Drosophila melanogaster: one gene and its partners. The protein of the gene in region 1 interacts with the protein of each later gene in a pairwise test. Each region holds a gene or a part of one and is shown in the gene's direction. Other genes may lie near its edges.

Region 1 (7,048 bases):
TCTTAATTTGCATAGACCATAGTTTTCAACTTGGGCACTCACGCATCGCGAAGACTCACAGTTTTACACCGGACCCACTAACCAAGATTGATGGAGTGTCAAATGGCGGAGATAGAGCATCGCAGTTGGAAAAGAGAAAAAAAGGCGAAGAGGGGGTGGACTGCGACATTGACCTTTATTCGATTTTTGGCTGCTCGGCTCGGGCCAAATCAATCAGGGGCTCCAAGTTTTTGCCACCTGATTGAACCAATTTCGGGGCATTTAATTTTCTACCGACTCATTGGCGCTCATTGTGCGCCCCAAAAAAATAAATCATTTCAATTCGTTTATTAGCCGCCCCCAAAGGCGTACTGAGTTTTGTACCCATTCGGTTCGAGATTATCATCGTTTTACCCTGTGCGCGCTTACACGTTTATATATTATACATCGTTGTTTACTTTATATTTTTATTTATCATTTTCTTTTTCGCTTTTTTTTCTTCGATCCACTTGCCGATCGTCCGTCATTTTCAGTTACAATTGCCAATCTTTCAATGTCACTGGAGTTCGCTTACGGTTATTATTGTTACCGTATTTCGAATTGTTTTCGAAGCATCTCACAAGAGCCAAGTGCAGAGAAAACAGATAATTGCACAAAACTGAATTAAATTTAATTTGGATTTGGTAATTGCAGCGACCATTTGAATGATTTATGTATATGGTTTGGCATGGGTCTTGAACAAATTGTATTCGCTTCATTGGAGGATGATCGTCTGGGAATCAGCGGGATTTCCAGTATTACTTATTGATTATATCCTACTAGATTATTAAACTTAAATGATATCTTAATAATATTTTCAGTATAAGTTCTAAAGAGGGAAATAAACAATTTTGGTAATTTACCCACAACAGCTACGTACTATCTGTAACTAGCATTAACAACAATTATTTCCAATGTCTAATTCTGAGTTTTTACTTTGTGCCTTTCGATGAATTCAAAGTTTTGTTAAATCTATTTTACAAACCTATAGTAGATAATCTGCAACTGCTTAATAACAATTAAAGCGAATCTAATTTGATGATTTCAACTATTCCCATCTAGTTACTAGATAAAATTATACTTTTAATTGGTATCGTTGGGCAAACTCACTTTGGTGAATGAAACTCCAGTTGAAAAGGAGCCAAGATCTATTGGTAATTCGACAGGCATATACCATCTCCACATCGGCGATTATTATCTCGCCCATTTAGCCAGAGTTTGTGCCATTTTAATGCTTAACTGCCATTAAATATAATTACTCATTAAAGCAAAAGAGCCCCGGCATGTACATACATACATACTTCGCTTGAATTCCCCATGCGAAGGCACAAATAAGTCCGTCTGCGATTTGGCTCTTGTTTTCATAATGGGCCAAGACGCTTCCCCACAAACAAAATCGCAGCTCTTGGCGAGCGAGTCTTCTTTTATTTTGGCTTGTCACTTGTTTTGTCAATAACTCGCAACTGTTGCTCTGTTAAGAGATAAAAATAGCCCGCGACGACGACAAGGTAAAAGCCCTTTTCACCAGCAAAGCCCCGCAATCAATATGGCATATTAAAGTTGGTGAAAAGCTGTTTAAAAGTGAAACTGATAACGGCCCAACCGTCCATAACCCATTAGCCGCGTTTTAAGTTGGAAAAGCTGCAATAAGGTGCCATTAAAAGAAAATGAAAACTGTTCCGGCATTGGAATGGTTGAGTGGGTGGGTGGTAGGTCTAGTACAACCGTTTGGTGGGTGGTTCAAACAGTCACGTGCAGCGTTTGTGGATTATCAAAAGTCAAAAACCCCCTGTAATGATAACATCTTAGCTATGCGATAATTGAGTCTGAGGTTCGGCATGACCAGCGCAATTAGATTAATCAAAAATGTGTTTATGGCTCCTTGAGTGTCCATATATCAAGTGAACAAAATGGCAGGCGAATAATAGTTCTTAGGCTGTGTGCAAAAACCCAAAATGGCTGTGAACTTTCCCCATGGTCAATAACAATTCGATTATGAACTTGGCCATCTGTCGGCTAATTGCAATTCATTGGTTTTTAATTGGCACCATATAAGCAATGCTATATTTTGGGAGCTTTTATGTGATTATCACATCACATTTACCAAAGACTAAGCAAGACAACCATTTTCTATTGTATATATATCTTATACATGGATATATGTACATATGTGCCTATCTTATCTATATTATATCTATGTGATTCGTCTAAAGACTAAGGCCCTTGAGTGGCTTTTTCGGATATGAAACAGTTGATTTAAACCGATGTTATGCCAATTGGTTATAGAATAACTTTGGGGGAGAGTCCATATATCATCAGTAACGGTTAGCAGCTGATAAGACCATGACTGGAAAATGTTTCGTGTTATGGGGTAGACTCGAATGGGGTATTACTCATACTCATACGTTTTGTTTTAAAAAACAATTACGCCACAAGTTATACTGACTAATTTCACTCAGAACTAACTGAGAGCTACTTTCGAAGGGCAAAGTAGGGATTTATTGTAGTATTTGGCAAGCAACTCACTTTGGCCAAAACAGAGCCATCAAAAGCCACAAGAGTCATTACAAATGTTTTCGCGCCCCCATTCGATTAAGTCATCCGGGGTAGGTGTATTCCGAGCTTAGATCCTTTGAGGCGTCCAAGTGGATACATGCGGAGCTCCGCGGTGGCCAAGCCCCAAAACTAAAAAATCTGAATGGGGCAGTGACGGCGACGCGACTGCGACGCCGACCGCGACGACGACCGCGGCAGAGAGTATATCAGTTACAGTCGCAGCGTTGGCAACGCTTATTTGCGCTCGAGCAGCGAACGTGGTAGCACAGCTTTAAGCACTACAGCACTACAGTACAAACTGCGAGAAAGAAAAGCGGCAGTTTCGAAAATCCGAAAAGGAAATCGAGTTCGGAGCGGTTAGTTTAATTGGCGATAATAATAAACTAATAATAAAATCGAGTTATTGCACGTTGCGCTTTCCAATTTCGAAAAGGAAATCTGAAAATATTGTAGCCCAGTGAAGAAAATAAGTCAATCGGGTGAAATTAAATTGATAACAACACCGCTTTCCGCCCCATATTCGACTCCGTGTGGTCAAGTGGCAGACAATTGTGCAACCTCAAGACTCTTAACCTTAACAATTATATTTCGGCCACAAAAAACTATTGGCACAATTCAGTTCGATTCGAGTGCGCGCTAACTCACTTTTACCCGCAGCAAAAAGCAATAAGGCAAAAAGCACGCTTTGAAAACGAAAGCAAAGCACAAGTTCGCTTCGAAACCCCCCACGCTTGCCAAAAATCTCAAGTGGCAGCCCCCAGAAGACAGTAGATCGTAGCCAGAAGACCGAAGACAGAAGACAGCAAAATGGTCGAGAAAACAGGTGAGTGATTGGCGATTGGAGGCTGGAGAATGCGAAATATGCGTGTGCGTGTGTGCGAAGGTTAATTGCGAGCAAAATTTGGGGGCGAGAGTGCGGCAAATTGTTATGGTTTTGTGCGAAAGTTAATCCCACTCTTTTGGGGCTTTCAACTTTTGCTTGAATAATATCACAAACCAATGAGAGTGTATAATTTCCAAAACTATTGATCGAAATCGTTTGCAATTTGCTATTGCCAGTGTATCAATCCTTATGTTTTTTTACATTAAAATAAAACGATCAAAAGTAAACCATAAAATTTGTAATGAATACAGTTTTAACAAATCTACTTTTGATTTAATAAAGCACCCAGTTTGTTTATTGCAAAATAGGCCCCTCTTTGGATTTCACTTTCAAAGCAAACAAATAGTAACCCAAAATTTGCCTTAAATTAATCATTCCTTCACAATTAATCAACTTTAATAAGCCATCGAAAGATGTTTTGATAAATCATCTTTTTCTTTTTTTTCTTTCTTTGTTTTGGGTGGTTGGGCGAATCAAAGAGTAGCCCGCCTGTCGATAACGATAACGAGATGATTGGTTTTCAATAATTTCTCTGACACAGCATGACAAAGACAGCAAATTAGCCCCGAGTTATTTTTTTTTTTATAGTTAGACGTAGTTTTTTGTTGCTTTGATTTAGCTTCCGTGGCGATTGATGATGATTTCTGTAACTGAAAGTTTGCATGACAGAAAAGCCTGGAAAGAAAAAAAAAAGATAGATAGGAGAAAACTTAGCTAGGTAAACAACAGCGGAAACTCCGGCCGAGGCAATTTATGCGATGATGATGTTGATGGCTCCCCAACGAAAGCAATAAAACCACACCGAACCGAGTCAAGTCAGTCAAGTGAATGAACTGGAGGAAAACACCCTAAGAGCCAAATAAGTAGGAACTTTTATTTGTGCGATCTGAACAGTCAAATTAATTAAAAACCTAATTGCATTCCTCTGGTTGCTTCGCAGAATTAAAGCCAACCTCTGGCGTCATTTTCGCCGCCTGTTCCGCCGATATCGTTGTGATAATGACCATAATATTTACCCGGCACTGAATACTCATTTGCCAAGCCAAGAATTCTCGGTTCCAGCTAATTAATGTCAACGCCTGAGCATCTATTTGATCAAGTGTTTAAACACAGGGCTCAATATTTGATTTAGATATTAAATATGTTCACTTAACGTGGCTGCTTAATGCTCGGGTGGAATTTTGAGACCAGTAAGCGTTTAAAAATAGTCGAGTGAGGTGCGTGAGAAATTCGCAGCCCTTTGGCGCTGAAATTCTGCAAATTATAGTACAAACGTGTGGCTAATTTGATATCCCTCTTTCGCTTAATGTCTTCTCCGCCTCATAATTCAATGCGTTGTCATCTTGGACCAACATCACTTTATACATATATATATATATATATATATGTGTAGACAGACTTCCACCTGACGTTAGTAGCTGCTGTTTTTGTGGCGACGGATTCGCAGATATAACAAAATTACAGTAATAATCGTGCGCGGAGTTGACATGACATCACGGTGAAATTGGCATTCAAAACAGTAGCAAACTTAAGGCCAGGAAATGGTTTTTGGTATGACTGGAGAACATTTAGACATTTAACACAGTTAGTGCACATCCCCATTTACTTAATTCCATCCAACCGAGCTCCGTTCTCAATGGAAGATCAACTTGTTTGTTAATCGGATAGCTTATAATTAAGATAATAAGCTGCCATTGAGATGCACAGAAGCGAAGATGTTCGGTTCCCATGGAAAGTTTTTGATTCACGTAACGTTCAATTAAGTTTACGGAAAATAATTGGAATGTTCATATATCTATTGATTTGATGTAGAAGTGACTGTGTGCCATACCGAAAATTTAGTCCGCTTTGGTGTACAAATTGCATATTTTGCAAATTTAAAAAAACAATCCGAAAGAAATACAACTTTGTTGCCTTTTAAAATGCCATCCATTATGTGCCTGAAAAACAGCCTTTCAGTCTCCCAATTTTCCCTATCGTGTCGTCTCAAATTATCGCCATTAATTGACAAACTTCCAAAGTTAGTCATAAACCACAAACCCCAATAAATTGCCTTTGATTTATGGTGCATTGTAAACGAGTTAAGCGACATAAATTCGTTTGGAGCAAAAGCCCATAAAGATTATAAGTGAGTTTGAACGTACTCCTCCCGCACAGCAAACGAGCAAACGAAAACTGAATAGTCCCCTGCCCATCTGACTAATTAATTTATAACGATTTTAATAGCCAGCGAACAGGTTTCGATCTTTCCCGCGACTGTTATTAATAAAATCATCACCTTGCCGAACAAAAGTGCCCAAGAGTTGCGCAAAGCCGAAATTAATAATCCGATTAAATTGATTAATTGTTGTAGACGAAAAATGGATTGCAAACAATATGCCAGAACCTTTTGTTTTGCACTTACAGTTGCGAAATGAATGCCTTGTGCACTTAACTTCAGATGAACGACAATAACATAATTTGCATTTGTGGTTAAGGAATTACGCGTGTAATTTCACACAACCCAATAAACATTACTTAAGACACTCCCTTTAGTCCTTTGTTCAGTTCTCTGCGCTTAATGCGTTCCAAACAAAGTCTTAAAGTCAAAGTCATAAAAGCTGTCTTTTCAAACTTCACTAATTTATTTAACTTTCTTGTCGATTATAATTGCACACGTGTCCCAAGTGACGTCAGTCAAGAAAATTAGCACTTAAAACGCCTCAAAAACTATCATAAGCCATTAAGCTAGTTCGGGCGAATCCCTTTTGCCATTCAGATCCCATTCCATTTTGAATGATTGGGAAACATATGAGCAGAAATGGTCATAAATTAGGAAACTTATGCCAAAATTGCGTGCCAGGATGAAATTAATGAGTTTGGTGGTACGGAAAACGAGGTGAGAAAAGGCGACAGGCGATGACATTGCTCATGTTCTAATAATACGCAGATAAGTCATGGCTAACCCAACCCCAGTTCGCCAATCAGCATAACCAGCCAAGTGATTCGGGGCCAGGACTTGGGAGCGGCTTCCGAAGAGCCAAGCCTTTGACTTGGCCTCCATTCATGGGCACGTGGGCTCCACCACTAGCCCACACTTTGATTTTCGCTTCAGCCAAGGTTGGACACGAGAGGCACACTGAGAGAAAAATGTACTCGCAAATGCTGGCTGATAGCTGTCCATATTAAAAAGGGTAATCCTATCGTTAAAAACGAATGTTGTTATCCAAAAATCTTATGTGATAGTTTTACCATTTACTAGATACCACAAAAAATACGGTATACACTTTCCCTTCTGGAATCTACACCCTATATCTCTCAGTGTCTGCTCAGGATGTGAGCACATTGGAAACAAGCAGGTGGAAGACCATGTCGAGCGGACATCCGCGGCAACATCGAGCTTATGGGAAATGCAACGCCGCTTTTCCCGGGGGCCAGACATGCACTTGACTGTCCCGGCCAACTTGGCATAGATTCCGATTCGGACACAATGTAGATTACTATATTTGGGTCTGGAGTCGCAACGATTCCCAGTGCCCCGGTGCCACTAATAACACCGTAATTATATGCAGCCTAGCCACCTCAAACCGTAGTTGGGGATTCAAAACCGTC
Region 2 (5,793 bases), 7.2 Mb from region 1:
CTATATGTGTGCGTGTTGTGCTAGAATACGATTTTCGGGACGAAATCAATTCTGATCGAAGAAACGATTTTACATATTTGGGGAGTTTTGGCCAATTTCGTAGCAATATGATGAAATTGCGCGCTGTTAAAAAATATCAAATTTGAATATAAAAAAAAGAATATGAAAAAACAACTGAATCTAATGTGCACTTTAAATAATAAAATTTGATTATTTACATACATAATATTAAAATGTATATCAATATTAAATATTATAATAATATTAAAAAATATCAAATGACTAATAAATATACTAAATAATTAAAGCAAATACAAAGGAAATTATTATAACTACTGTAATCTAAAACATAAATTTTACAAATTTAATTTTTTACGCGCCGTAAGCTGAATACTCTAATGACAAATATTCTAATGTAAAGTCATTTTTGAAATTTATTTTGTGATGTACATAGATTTCGCTATTTCTAATCTATTTTCAAATAATAATAACGTTAAGGCAATGCAAACAAGAATTTTTCGCATGGTGCCAATTGATCAAAAATAATACAGACTTAAGACTTTGCTTAGACTTAGACTTTGCATTGCCTTAAAAGTCTAAGAACTTCTAAGGAGAAGGGCATATTTTGTCAAATTTACAATGCATGTTGTCTGCTATCACTGTATGCGTAGAAAAGAGCTTTTCGCTGTAGCGCTCTCCGCTCTCTCGATCTTGAACAAAAATTCGGGAGAGCCTGGAGCCACCTCTAGAGCCACGCCGAAAAAATCGTGTGCCAAAAAGTCGTTATGGCGGTACGCATCTTGTTATTCTAGAGTCTTTGATAAAACCCTATCAAAAAATAAGACAAGACGAAATTGTAGGTTGTCAATATTTTTGGAAAAACCAAATCAGACGCATGTGAACTCGTTTATCGCGCGAGGCGAGTTGCATCTCAATTGCGCTGAAGAATACATGTTTTTAACTGGTGTCGGTTGATGGATAGACTGGAAGTATGAAATCGATCTTTCGGATAAAGGCACTGAGTTCTGGGGTATTACCACTGAATGTGGGTATTTGCCTAATTTGGCTTAAGGCTTGATTCAGATGGGATTCCGATAACAGTTTGACTTGCTCGGTTGCCATGGCTGATGATTTTATTTTTATTTTTGTTTTTACACTTTTATTGACCGTATGCAGTAGGTTTGACTATTGCGTGTCAACCACCGATTATAAGTAGTTCTTTTGCGGATAAAAGAGTTAATTGTATTACGATTTTATGTTCACTTTAGCGCCGATTCGCGTGGTTCAATCTTAAGCAGGGTTATGGCGATTGATAACGTACTCAGAACTGAACTAACGTATTGGGGCATGTTTGGGTTTATGTAGGCAGATTGGGATAGCTTAAGAGCGAAGCTTAAGAGAACAACGTTATCAACGTCTATTCTCCTGTTAAGAGAGGAGCTTCCGAAAAATAGGATTAATTGGAGAATCCTGAGACGATTGTGTGGGCGGAAGTTTTTGTTATTTCAGTTGGTTCACCAAGTGATCGGATATTTAGGGGACGTGGACGTTGGCTCGACGCAGAGTCTAGACTTTGGAATTCGGACTTTTGCACTTTGCTGTGAGTAATTGACAGCTAAGCTTAATCGAAGGGCTCTCGATCTTTAATTACATTTCGTACTTACACATTGATGTGTGTGTGTAATTGTTTACGATAGTGTGTGTGGTTGGGGAGTTGTGGGTATAGAATGGATATGTTAATATATATATATGATATAATATAATATATATATGTCGGTGAAGCCGAGCGTCCAATTAATTAGCACAGCAAGTCGCCTGCGTGTTGTCTCTTTGGCAGTTCTCACCAGACTTATTTACTCAAGCGTCGCCTTCTCGATGCTATTCTTCTATTTCTCATCTTCAAAATTCTTTTTTTGTTTTATCCTTACTTCGTTTCCACAAAACTCTACCACAACAACAACAGGCGCCATGCTAATTTGAATACACACACAAATGATGCCCACTCAATAACGGAACTCATTCCGTGAATTTTATTACTCGCTGCTCATCCTTAACATACGGATCAATAAACAAATGTCGGTTACATTCAAATAATAATTCAAATAATATGTTAGATCTACTCAATCTCCGACATATATATTAAAATATTAATAATTATAATAATAAAATTAATAATATTAAAATTATTATTATTATATATATATATATGTATATATATATTTATTTATTATACTTATTGTATTGTATTGTATATATATATATATATATATAATATATATATTATAATATATTATATATATATTGTTATATAAATTAACAGGCAACGATTTTGTGTATTGCGATTTATTATGCGACTATGCGCGTTCTGATGAGTTTTAAAACTAAAGACAGAAAACTTAAGCTTAATATGAAGTAGCCCGTTTTCTGAAGCAGCGCTCACGGCAGAATGCTGACATCGCGCTTCACACGCTCCGGGCAGTAGAATGTTGACCATTGCGCTTCACACGCTCCGGGCAGTGACTAAAATTACTAAAACGGCCCTTGTTCCTTTTCCACCGCTCCTAAATCGTCACTAGCTCACCGACGCTAGTTTGACGAGCTTATGTTTTTTATCGCTTACATTTGCATCAGTTTTTTAATTTTATTTGTGCACAGCCACACCAAAAGTTTGGTCACATGATATGTTCACCTGACAAAATCACAGTTTTCATTGAGGAATTGTGACGAATTGTGTTTGCTGAAACTTTTTATTCTCTTAAAAGTGTTTAACAAAAATTTAAGAAAATGAAAATCTGTGGCCCGAAACTATCACTTTGTGGTCTTATTATCTCTGTTTGGGGTATTGTCCAATTGGTGAGTACTGAGAATCTAATTTCGTCAAAGTTTCAAAAAGTAACCACTTACATATTTATGTTAAAGGTTTTAATGGGTCTATTCTTCTACATAAATAGTGTAGCCCTCATTGAGGACTTACCTCTTGAGGAGGAATACCATTCGTTGGAAGATTTTTATGCAGCTGCAAATAGAGCATACAATCAGGTATGTTCTCTTTTTACAACAACCATATGTACACATACGTCTGCTAATGCAAGGTAAATTTTTTCAGAATGCCTACAACTGCTGGATTGCCGCATGTATATATGTTTTGACTTTGTTGCTCTCCGCCCAGCAATTTTACATGAATAGCAGAGTAACTGCCAACTAATATTTCAGATGTAGTTTCCCAACTACTTAAAACTAGTATTGAAATTTTCCCTTCGATATATTTGTTAGAGGTGTTTTCCTTTTAATAAAGTTAAAGTTCAATTTAAATGTTACAACATGCTTATTGTATTAAGGGGCGGAGTGAGGAGTTTGTGTTTTTTAAACCCCAAAGAAGACTATTCACTTCATTTTTTATGTTTCATGTGTTCAGTGCGCCATTCACTTCTTATTTCTGTTATATATTTAAATTTTGAGAATTAATATATTTGATTACTATAGTAGCGATAAATCCAAACTCCGGAATTTCCTTCAGAGTCATGAAAGCACTTTTTTTTATTAAAGAGGTCAATCTGAACAAATTGTTGAAATGATATTTTATTTCTCCACGGGAATTTTACCTACGGAAGACCTAAAAAAAGGTATTTTAAATGTTTATTACGGTTATTACTGATATTGTGTGGAACGGTTTGGCGAGACATGAATTATTCGTACTGTTTTTAATTTTGTTGATAGCTATTATTAAATTACCCAACTTACAAATATTTTATTTATAAATTAATTAAAGTAGTTAGTAAGGTCATTACTGTCTTGATTTCCTATATCAAGCTGGTAATTAATTATGTTACGTTACGTCGTTCTGTAACATGTACATATGAACACGAGATTATCTTGTGCGCTGTGTTGCTGTATCCACATACACTAGTCGGTAAGCATTTTGACAAAATAAACTCCAAACCTTTTTTCAGTGAAACTTTTAAATGGTTTAATATGATAGTAATGTCTATTTTTTGTGTGTAAGTAAGTCGAACCTTTACTAAATCCTCCATATTGTAAAGGATCATCTCTTTAAAAAGAGAAGTGATTTCAGAAATCGCCTTCTAACGAGTTTTGTGTCACGGAACAGTTATTTTCCGTTTTAAAAGAGACCAGATTTCTTAATTATATTTAAATCTGGACTTTGAGGTGCACAATTCAAGAGAGTGACGCCAACAGCCTTTAGAAACTTGGCTATCATTCGGGCTTTGTGGCACGGAGCATAATCTTTCTGCAGGATAAATGATCCTCGATCAGCCTATTTCCAGAAGGAAACGCATTTTCGTTTAGGGTCGTCAAACATTGCCTTTGGTTCATCGAGCCGGAGACAGGGACCAAGTCACCGAACCGAAGACACTAGAGTAACAGATGCGTAGTGCCATACTCTCAAATTTTTGTTCGAGAGCGAGAGAGCGGAGAGCGCTACAGCGAACAGCTCTTTTCGACGCCTGCAGTGATAGCAGACAACTGTATGTGTGCACACGTATGCTCATGCATTGTAAATTTGACAAAATATGCCCTTCACCTTAAAAGTTCTTAGACTTTAAATCTATATTATTTTTGATAAATAGGCACCATGTGAAAAATTATTGTTTTGCATTGCCTTAACGTTACTATTATTTAATAAAGCTTAGAAATAGAAATAGCCGAATCATAATATCACAAAATAAATTTCAAAAATGACTATATTAAAATAATTGTCATTAGAGTATTCAGCTCGCGACGTTGTGTCCGCACTTCGTGCCTCAAGATTTTTCAAGACTTTTGTAATAAACAGTTTTTTAAGCAGTATTTTCTACAACGTATTATTTGTAGACAATTTTTTTTCAATGTAATGACTTTTTTTGGAAAATTTTTGTTTTATAATTACAATTATAACAATTTCCAAAATGTGTTGCAATAGTAAAGTACGGAAATATAAGCGCAAATAGTAATTGGTAAGTAGTGGAAAATAAACGCGAAGTTCATGTAAATATAGGACCCATTACAATTGTAGTGGCCTCCCCGTGGTGTTCCCTGGGCACCGATTATTACATATGTATGTCCTCACGCCCTGTGCCATTAAACGTCGTCAAACTGGGCGGCCACTACTTTTGGGAAGCCTGGCGGTCAGATTCCACTGCGTTTCAACGGCTGGGGTTTTGGAAAATTTTTTTTTAAATTCCCTCATAAAGACTTTGTCGTCAGTGAATGTTGTTAAGGCCGTTAAAACCTTTTAAGTTTTTTTAAATCATTATGTTTTTATACTTTTTAAATTGATAATACACAGTTTGACGCGGCAATTTAAACTGCTTCGCAAAGTTTTTTACTTTAATTCCAACGTTAAACTGTGCTTCCATTGATGATCTACAACAATAAACGAACTTAACTGGGCCTTTTCACCCATGGCCATCAATCAATAAATTTTTTTTATTTTTTCTTTTTGTATAACGTTTAACATCATAAAAAGTACAATTTAAACAATTTTTGATTTACAAGTGCTTCAAAAAAGGATACAATTTACTAAATAAGCTTGTCACAATACTTGTGCCAAACAAAAATTGATTGTCTGCGTGCAATCTTGTAAGAGAATGTAATGGGTAATCTGTACAAAAATTGGCAGTCATTATTTGCATTTCTCTTCGTTTTCGCGCTGTTTTTAACGGTATCAAGCGAAAGAGAGATTCAAAAAACAATATTGTTAAAATACGCAAGACGGTGCGATTCATCTTTAAATAATTGGCGCTCAACTAGTGGTGAAAACCACCACCCACCATCACTATCACCAACAACCTA
Region 3 (5,545 bases), on another chromosome or scaffold:
CGGTCAGGATTAGGTCACATGGGCTGCACCCACTTTTCGGTTGGCCAAAAAAGGCTAAGTTGGTAATTAAGTTTGAGGTCAGTTCGTCAGACGAGAATCTAAATGTGGCAGGTTGTTGTCGAGTTTGCCAGAAGCTCTTATCTGCGAGAACGAAATGTAATGGATTCCCTTGCGTGTCAGATTGTCATCATTTGCCTGAGATCATCAGAAGGGAGTCGTAAATATAGTTTGTCAATCTTTCGCTTGGCTGGTCGCTCTGATGGCAGGCTAAGATTGTTAAAAAAAAAAAACACTCATGACATGACCAGGAAATATACTTCAAGTAAAGGGATTTAGCTTAAGTGCTGCAATTTTCTTAGTTTTTTAGAATTCAGAAAAGGGTTTTTTTATTACTAATTTGCTAGTTATTGTTCTACTGGTTACATGGAGTTATACTCTTAAACATTATTAAAATTTGAAAAGATTTCATGCGTTGCATATATTTGATTACTTTGAAACAAATTTTTTTGCGCTAGTCTTTATAAGTTTTTTTTTTTTTTTGAATTTCACGTTTCGCTTTTGTTTTCCTCTTAATTAAGTGCAAAGCCGCACTGCGACAGTTTGTGACAAATTTGTTGTTGTTTTTTCTCTTCAACTTGCCTTTCAACTTGCAACACGGGCAAGAAGGAGAACTGTAATTTGGTTTAATTGCCTCACAACATTTGCTAATTAGGTTTTACAGTTGGGGGGAACTCTTATCAGAATTTGCGAATGTTCTCCAAGCGCGGAAAAAGTTTGCATATTTAAGTTGAAGTCAGCGCCCATTCCCCAGATTTCCCCCTTTTAGCCAACACCTGCTGAGCTGCCGTGACTGAAAGTCATTTAAACTGTTTTACTTGCTGATGTTGTTGCTGCTGCTGGCATAATTATTTTCCTACACATTTTTGTGTTTAGATTTTCAAAGACCTCAGGTTGGAGATGGGCAAATAAATTAGCAAGCAGATTTTGCACTTGCTCAGGCGTTCAAGGCAAGACTTTTGACTTCTGCGTCGCGTGGTGCAGTGCCCCGAAGTTGCAACTCTTTTTCGGAATTTTTAATGAGCGTTGTTGATAAGCCAAACGAGGTTATGTTGGTGGGAAAATAAGTTGTGTAGCGGGAATTTACTGGCTTAAATAAGTTAAGCTCACAATTTGATAGGTAATTTCAAACTATCACAGAAGCTAACCTAAATAGTTGGGAATATTAAGTATTTATATTGAAATAAAGGGAATTAGATTAGTACATTGTCGTTATCATCCAACAACTTTGCATTCTTTCTGTATTAATCTTGTTTAAATCACGTTTTTAGATATAAAATCTTATCTTAAATGCTGGAGAATGTGAAAGTAAACAGATTGAAAAAGTTGCATAAGATAAACATTCCAACGATTAGAGAGCAGTAAACTTTTAATCGTACAGTTAAGGTACACTAATTAAATTATAAGAAAAGAAGATGTGGCATTTTAAGGCACTAAGTTTTAAAAAGGAAAGTCTACATTACCCATTTTAGTTATTTAATTAAAAGAGAACAATAGAACCCCTGTTTCGTGCAGTTCAAGCAATTGAACAAATTCGATATGCAAAATTGATCGCCTTATAAGAATTTCCAGCTACGAAGCGATCCAATTCGATTCGATTCGATTCTGTGCGTGGTAAGCGGTTGGGATACATGAGACACACATATGAGACAATATTTACAGTCCAACCAGTGCGAATTGCCATTCCAATCAGAGGTAAACAAAAATCAAAAGCCAATGTGAAAAAAAATGCCAACAAACCTGTACGAGTTGTTCGCTGCCGCTGCGCTGCTGAAGCTCTGCTCCCGCCGACGTCTGCGTCGAGAACTTCGGCTTTAAAGCTCTCAGATGGAGTTTTTGTTGTTGTTCTTGCTGCTGCTGCCTTTTTGCATGTGCAAATCGAAAGAGAGCGAGAGAGAGAGGGAGCTATGGAGCTGTGGAGCCCACCAATACTCGGGCTTTTTGGACAGGTAAGCGAAACACGTCGCAAAGAGCAGATGAATAAGAAGAAGACGCAGTAATGAATGATCGTCGCTTTAACTTTTCGCTTGCATCGGTATGCGTGTGTGCATTTCTGGGAGTTAACTTTTAACACTTTTAGCCTTGGCAAGAGATATATACAATATGCACTTTCCACACTGCTTCTAACTGACTTAGCTTTTCAATAACGCACACTATTTTTTTAAACACGAACACACACACACTTTCAAGGCGCGCCGGCTGCGCAAGCCACTTTTGTTTTAAGTTAGCCCACGTACAAGAGGCGAAACAGCGAAGTTCCGTAGCTCGGATTTTAATGCGGCCAGCGCGGCGATATATCGTCGACTGAGTGAGCAGTTACTTTTCGTACCTTCCCGTCAAGTTCACCTGGCCAAAAGCTTTTAAGCCCGAGCTGAGCGCAGCGCAATTGTGAGAAACGCACTAGTGCGTTGGAAGTTTGGCTATTTTCACAACAGATCTGTCTGGACTTCAAAGCTTGTATCTTTGGACAAATAAAAAACATTCATAACCTGCGCAATTTAATTGCAAAAACTTGTTAGCAACGCAAAATTAAGCTGTACCTAAAAATATATCTATGTAGCTGAGTATATAATTATATTTTAATATGAATATGTACGACAATAAATTTAGTAAGTTGACAACCAAATTACTATTGCCTTTCTATCTGAATTTGATTTGTTAAGATTGATTTATTCCTTGATTCTTCGATTTTCCATATTGGTCATCACTGACGGAACCAGCAATCGAACTGCGCGGAACCAGTTCACCGACAACAGAGTTGCACAACAGTTCAGCAGCGGCAAAGTAAAAATTACATTTTGTTAATTAAACTGCTTTTATAATGCTGCGAGCGGGATGCCAGCTGCTGACGCAGTCCACCCTGCCCACCGGGAAGACGGTCGGAAATAGTTTCGCCCTCGAGTTCGTCCGCTGGCGCAGGAAACCGCGATGGCTGCCGGTGGCCAAGAGCAAGATGTTCCGCGTGCCTGAACGCAAGAAGCAGTCGGAGGAGGAGCGCACGGAGCTCATGAGGCTACACAACCAGTACAAGTGCGTGCACCAGCGCCAGATTCTGTCTCTGGTCAAAGATAATTTGTAATCGGTTTCAAAAGACGTTATACAAAACAATCTACGCCTTGATTTCAGAACGCAGCTTCGCTCAGTGCGTCAGTTTCTAAGGGAGGAAGTCGTCCGCCACGAGGAAACATCCACAGCAGATCACATCGTGCTCACTCCCGAGCAGGAGGAGGCCGAGTTCCAGAAATGCCTGGATGCCAATGCTGCCTGGAACGCTGCCATAGCCAAGGAGCGTGATCAGCGATTGGCCAAGAAGCGTGAGGAAAAGGTGGCCTATATTCAGGAGCGATTGGAGGCACAACAGCTGCGCGAGGAGGAGCGCAAGGAGCAGGCCAACCAGCGGGTGCTGCTCGAGATTGAGCGTTCCAAGAACTATATCACTAGGGAAAACTTGGATGCAGCCATTGAGACAGCGTTGGCCAATCCCGTGGACCACAATTTCGCCATCGATATGGCCGGTAATCTTTACCACGGACGAAGCACCTCTCAGCTCCCGGACGCCACTCCCGAACCCAACCAGCAAGTTTTGAGTAATTAATTAATGCAGTGTCTTAGTTTGTTGTTACATTAAAATGCTTTTTATAGGTTTCTAACCAAAGTTGAAAGTCCGTGTTTTTTTTTATTTTTCTGCACAATAAACAACACACTTAAGTATATTTGATTTGCGCAAAAGAATAGGAATTGGATAACCTAGCTATTGTAAAGCGATTTGCTAGAACTAGAATACTTTTCAAATTTTAAGACCGTATTTGAAATTATAATAATCACTTAATTTGAACATATAATATATCAACAATCCATTAACCTAAAAATTAATCTTGGGTCATTGCATTAAGTATTGATGGCTTAATTTACGTTACATATCCCCAAGTTCCAAGCCCATCTTTCTTGGAGTCTCTTTTATGTTCCATATTCGAGTACAATTGTTAATAACCTTTTGAAAAGCATTTGTATTATAAAAATTTCTATATTTAACTTTTATATACGGCATTTAGAATAGGAATAACTTAAGCTTAGGCGCAGCCTATTTACTATATTACATATCTACCATGGGGAAGTGGGTGCTACGTGCCCGGTACTGGATTCGTTCGCTTGGATGCCGCATCCTGCTGCTGGAAAAGGTGCACCCAATCTGGAGTGGCCTTTAGTTTGGCTTGAATGGGTCCCAAGTTGATCATGTTTCCACTACGTTGCTCGCGATTGGCGGTTACAGACATGAGTTCCTGCAGAAAACCCGGATCGAGACCCATATCCAAGTCAAAGCGTGTGTCCCCCAATTGGAGTTTAACGCGACCGGATTTGTACCTCAGAATCTTGCCGATCTGCCCTTCTTCCAGCTGCCGTAGTACACTGCCCTTGGGTCCGTTTGAGCATTTGTCTGCAGGACTTGCTGGTTCCGATTCACTGGTGGCCTGATGATCTCCTTTAGACGGTTCCGGATCTTCGGAATCGTCGCCCACACATGGCAACACATCTGGCAGTTGCATGAGAAAGATCTGCGCTTCGCTGGAGTCCAGAAAGTTACCAATGGTGCGTGGGTAGCGACCGTACTGCAGCGGAGGTTCCTCTAAACTGGCTGCCTGGGCAGCCACATGCAGCTGTTGCAAATGCTGGGCCACTGCCAAAGTGTCTAGGAGCGAAATCAAATTAGATTATGCCATTTTTAAAGCTTAGCGCCTTACCCTTAAGTGTTGAGGTTGAACTGGCGATTTCTTGCTTCGCAATCGGTGTCTTCTGGGTGACCCAGAGTCCTAACGTTTATAAACAAATAAAGCATGAATTTCTTCTGCCCGTGTGCATCAAAAAGTGCTTGTAAAACGTACCCTCTTTTAGCAGGATGGGCCTGAGTGCCATCTCAGTCTTGTTAGCCTCCTCTTCGCTGAGCTCGCCGCCACTGGCGTCCGACTCGCCCAAGAGCTCCTTGATCCGCTCGGCCTGGCTCTTGTCGTCCTTGCGATCCACCCGTTTCCTGGTCACGGACACCTCCTCACCGCCCCGTGCATATGCCGTTCCATTTCCTGTGGACCTTCGCACATGAACATCGCCTGCTCCTTCGGAGAAGAGTCCCTGGGTTTGGATGAGCGTGGAGTTGCCCCCGCCAGCGGAATTTCCACCTCGACCACGTGTTGCTCCAGTGCCGTTGCCACGTCCACCTCTGCGGCCGCTCCTTGGCTGCGTGGTGTCCTTGGATGTCTTGACATTGCTGTGAATCAAATGAGATGATGAAAAGAATGACTCCCCCTGGGCCATTCCACAACTCACGCATTTTTATTGCGCACAGCATTCAAATTGGGAGCAAAGACCTTTTTGCTGGCTGTCCCAGCGCCGCGCCCACCAAGGGTCAAGTCGCGGGCGGGGGTCAGCCTGGTCATTCCGTTTAGCGTCTCCAGTGGGCGTGCACCGCCACCAGACTGACCATTATTCGTGGTGG

What was found. Proteins that work in one complex are often made in the same cells at the same time.
Region 2: the proteins of Drip (region 1) and RNASEK interact in a two-hybrid assay, tested with the Drosophila melanogaster proteins (one large-scale study listed by BioGRID).
Region 3: the proteins of Drip (region 1) and mRpS26 interact in a two-hybrid assay, tested with the Drosophila melanogaster proteins (one large-scale study listed by BioGRID).

Annotation. Positions count from the first base shown.
Region 1 is NT_033778.4:11,425,402-11,432,449, reverse strand, and holds the start of Drip (drip), read left to right. Parts: upstream 1-2,804; 5' UTR 2,805-3,381; coding exon 3,382-3,397; intron 3,398-4,646; exon of another isoform or gene 4,647-4,998; coding exon of another isoform or gene 4,999-5,008; intron 5,009-7,048. UniProt on the Drosophila melanogaster protein: Forms a water-specific channel.
Region 2 is NT_033778.4:4,185,006-4,190,798, reverse strand, and holds RNASEK (ribonuclease kappa), read left to right. Parts: upstream 1-2,671; 5' UTR 2,672-2,784; coding exon 2,785-2,853; intron 2,854-2,919; coding exon 2,920-3,039; intron 3,040-3,106; coding exon 3,107-3,205; 3' UTR 3,206-3,964; downstream 3,965-5,793.
Region 3 is NT_037436.4:18,103,784-18,109,328, forward strand, and holds mRpS26 (mitochondrial ribosomal protein S26), read left to right. Parts: upstream 1-2,795; 5' UTR 2,796-2,878; coding exon 2,879-3,087; intron 3,088-3,183; coding exon 3,184-3,652; 3' UTR 3,653-3,716; downstream 3,717-5,545. Other genes in the region: Polr3D (RNA polymerase III subunit D), read right to left, coding at 4,179-4,744, 4,797-4,865, 4,938-5,317, 5,377-5,545.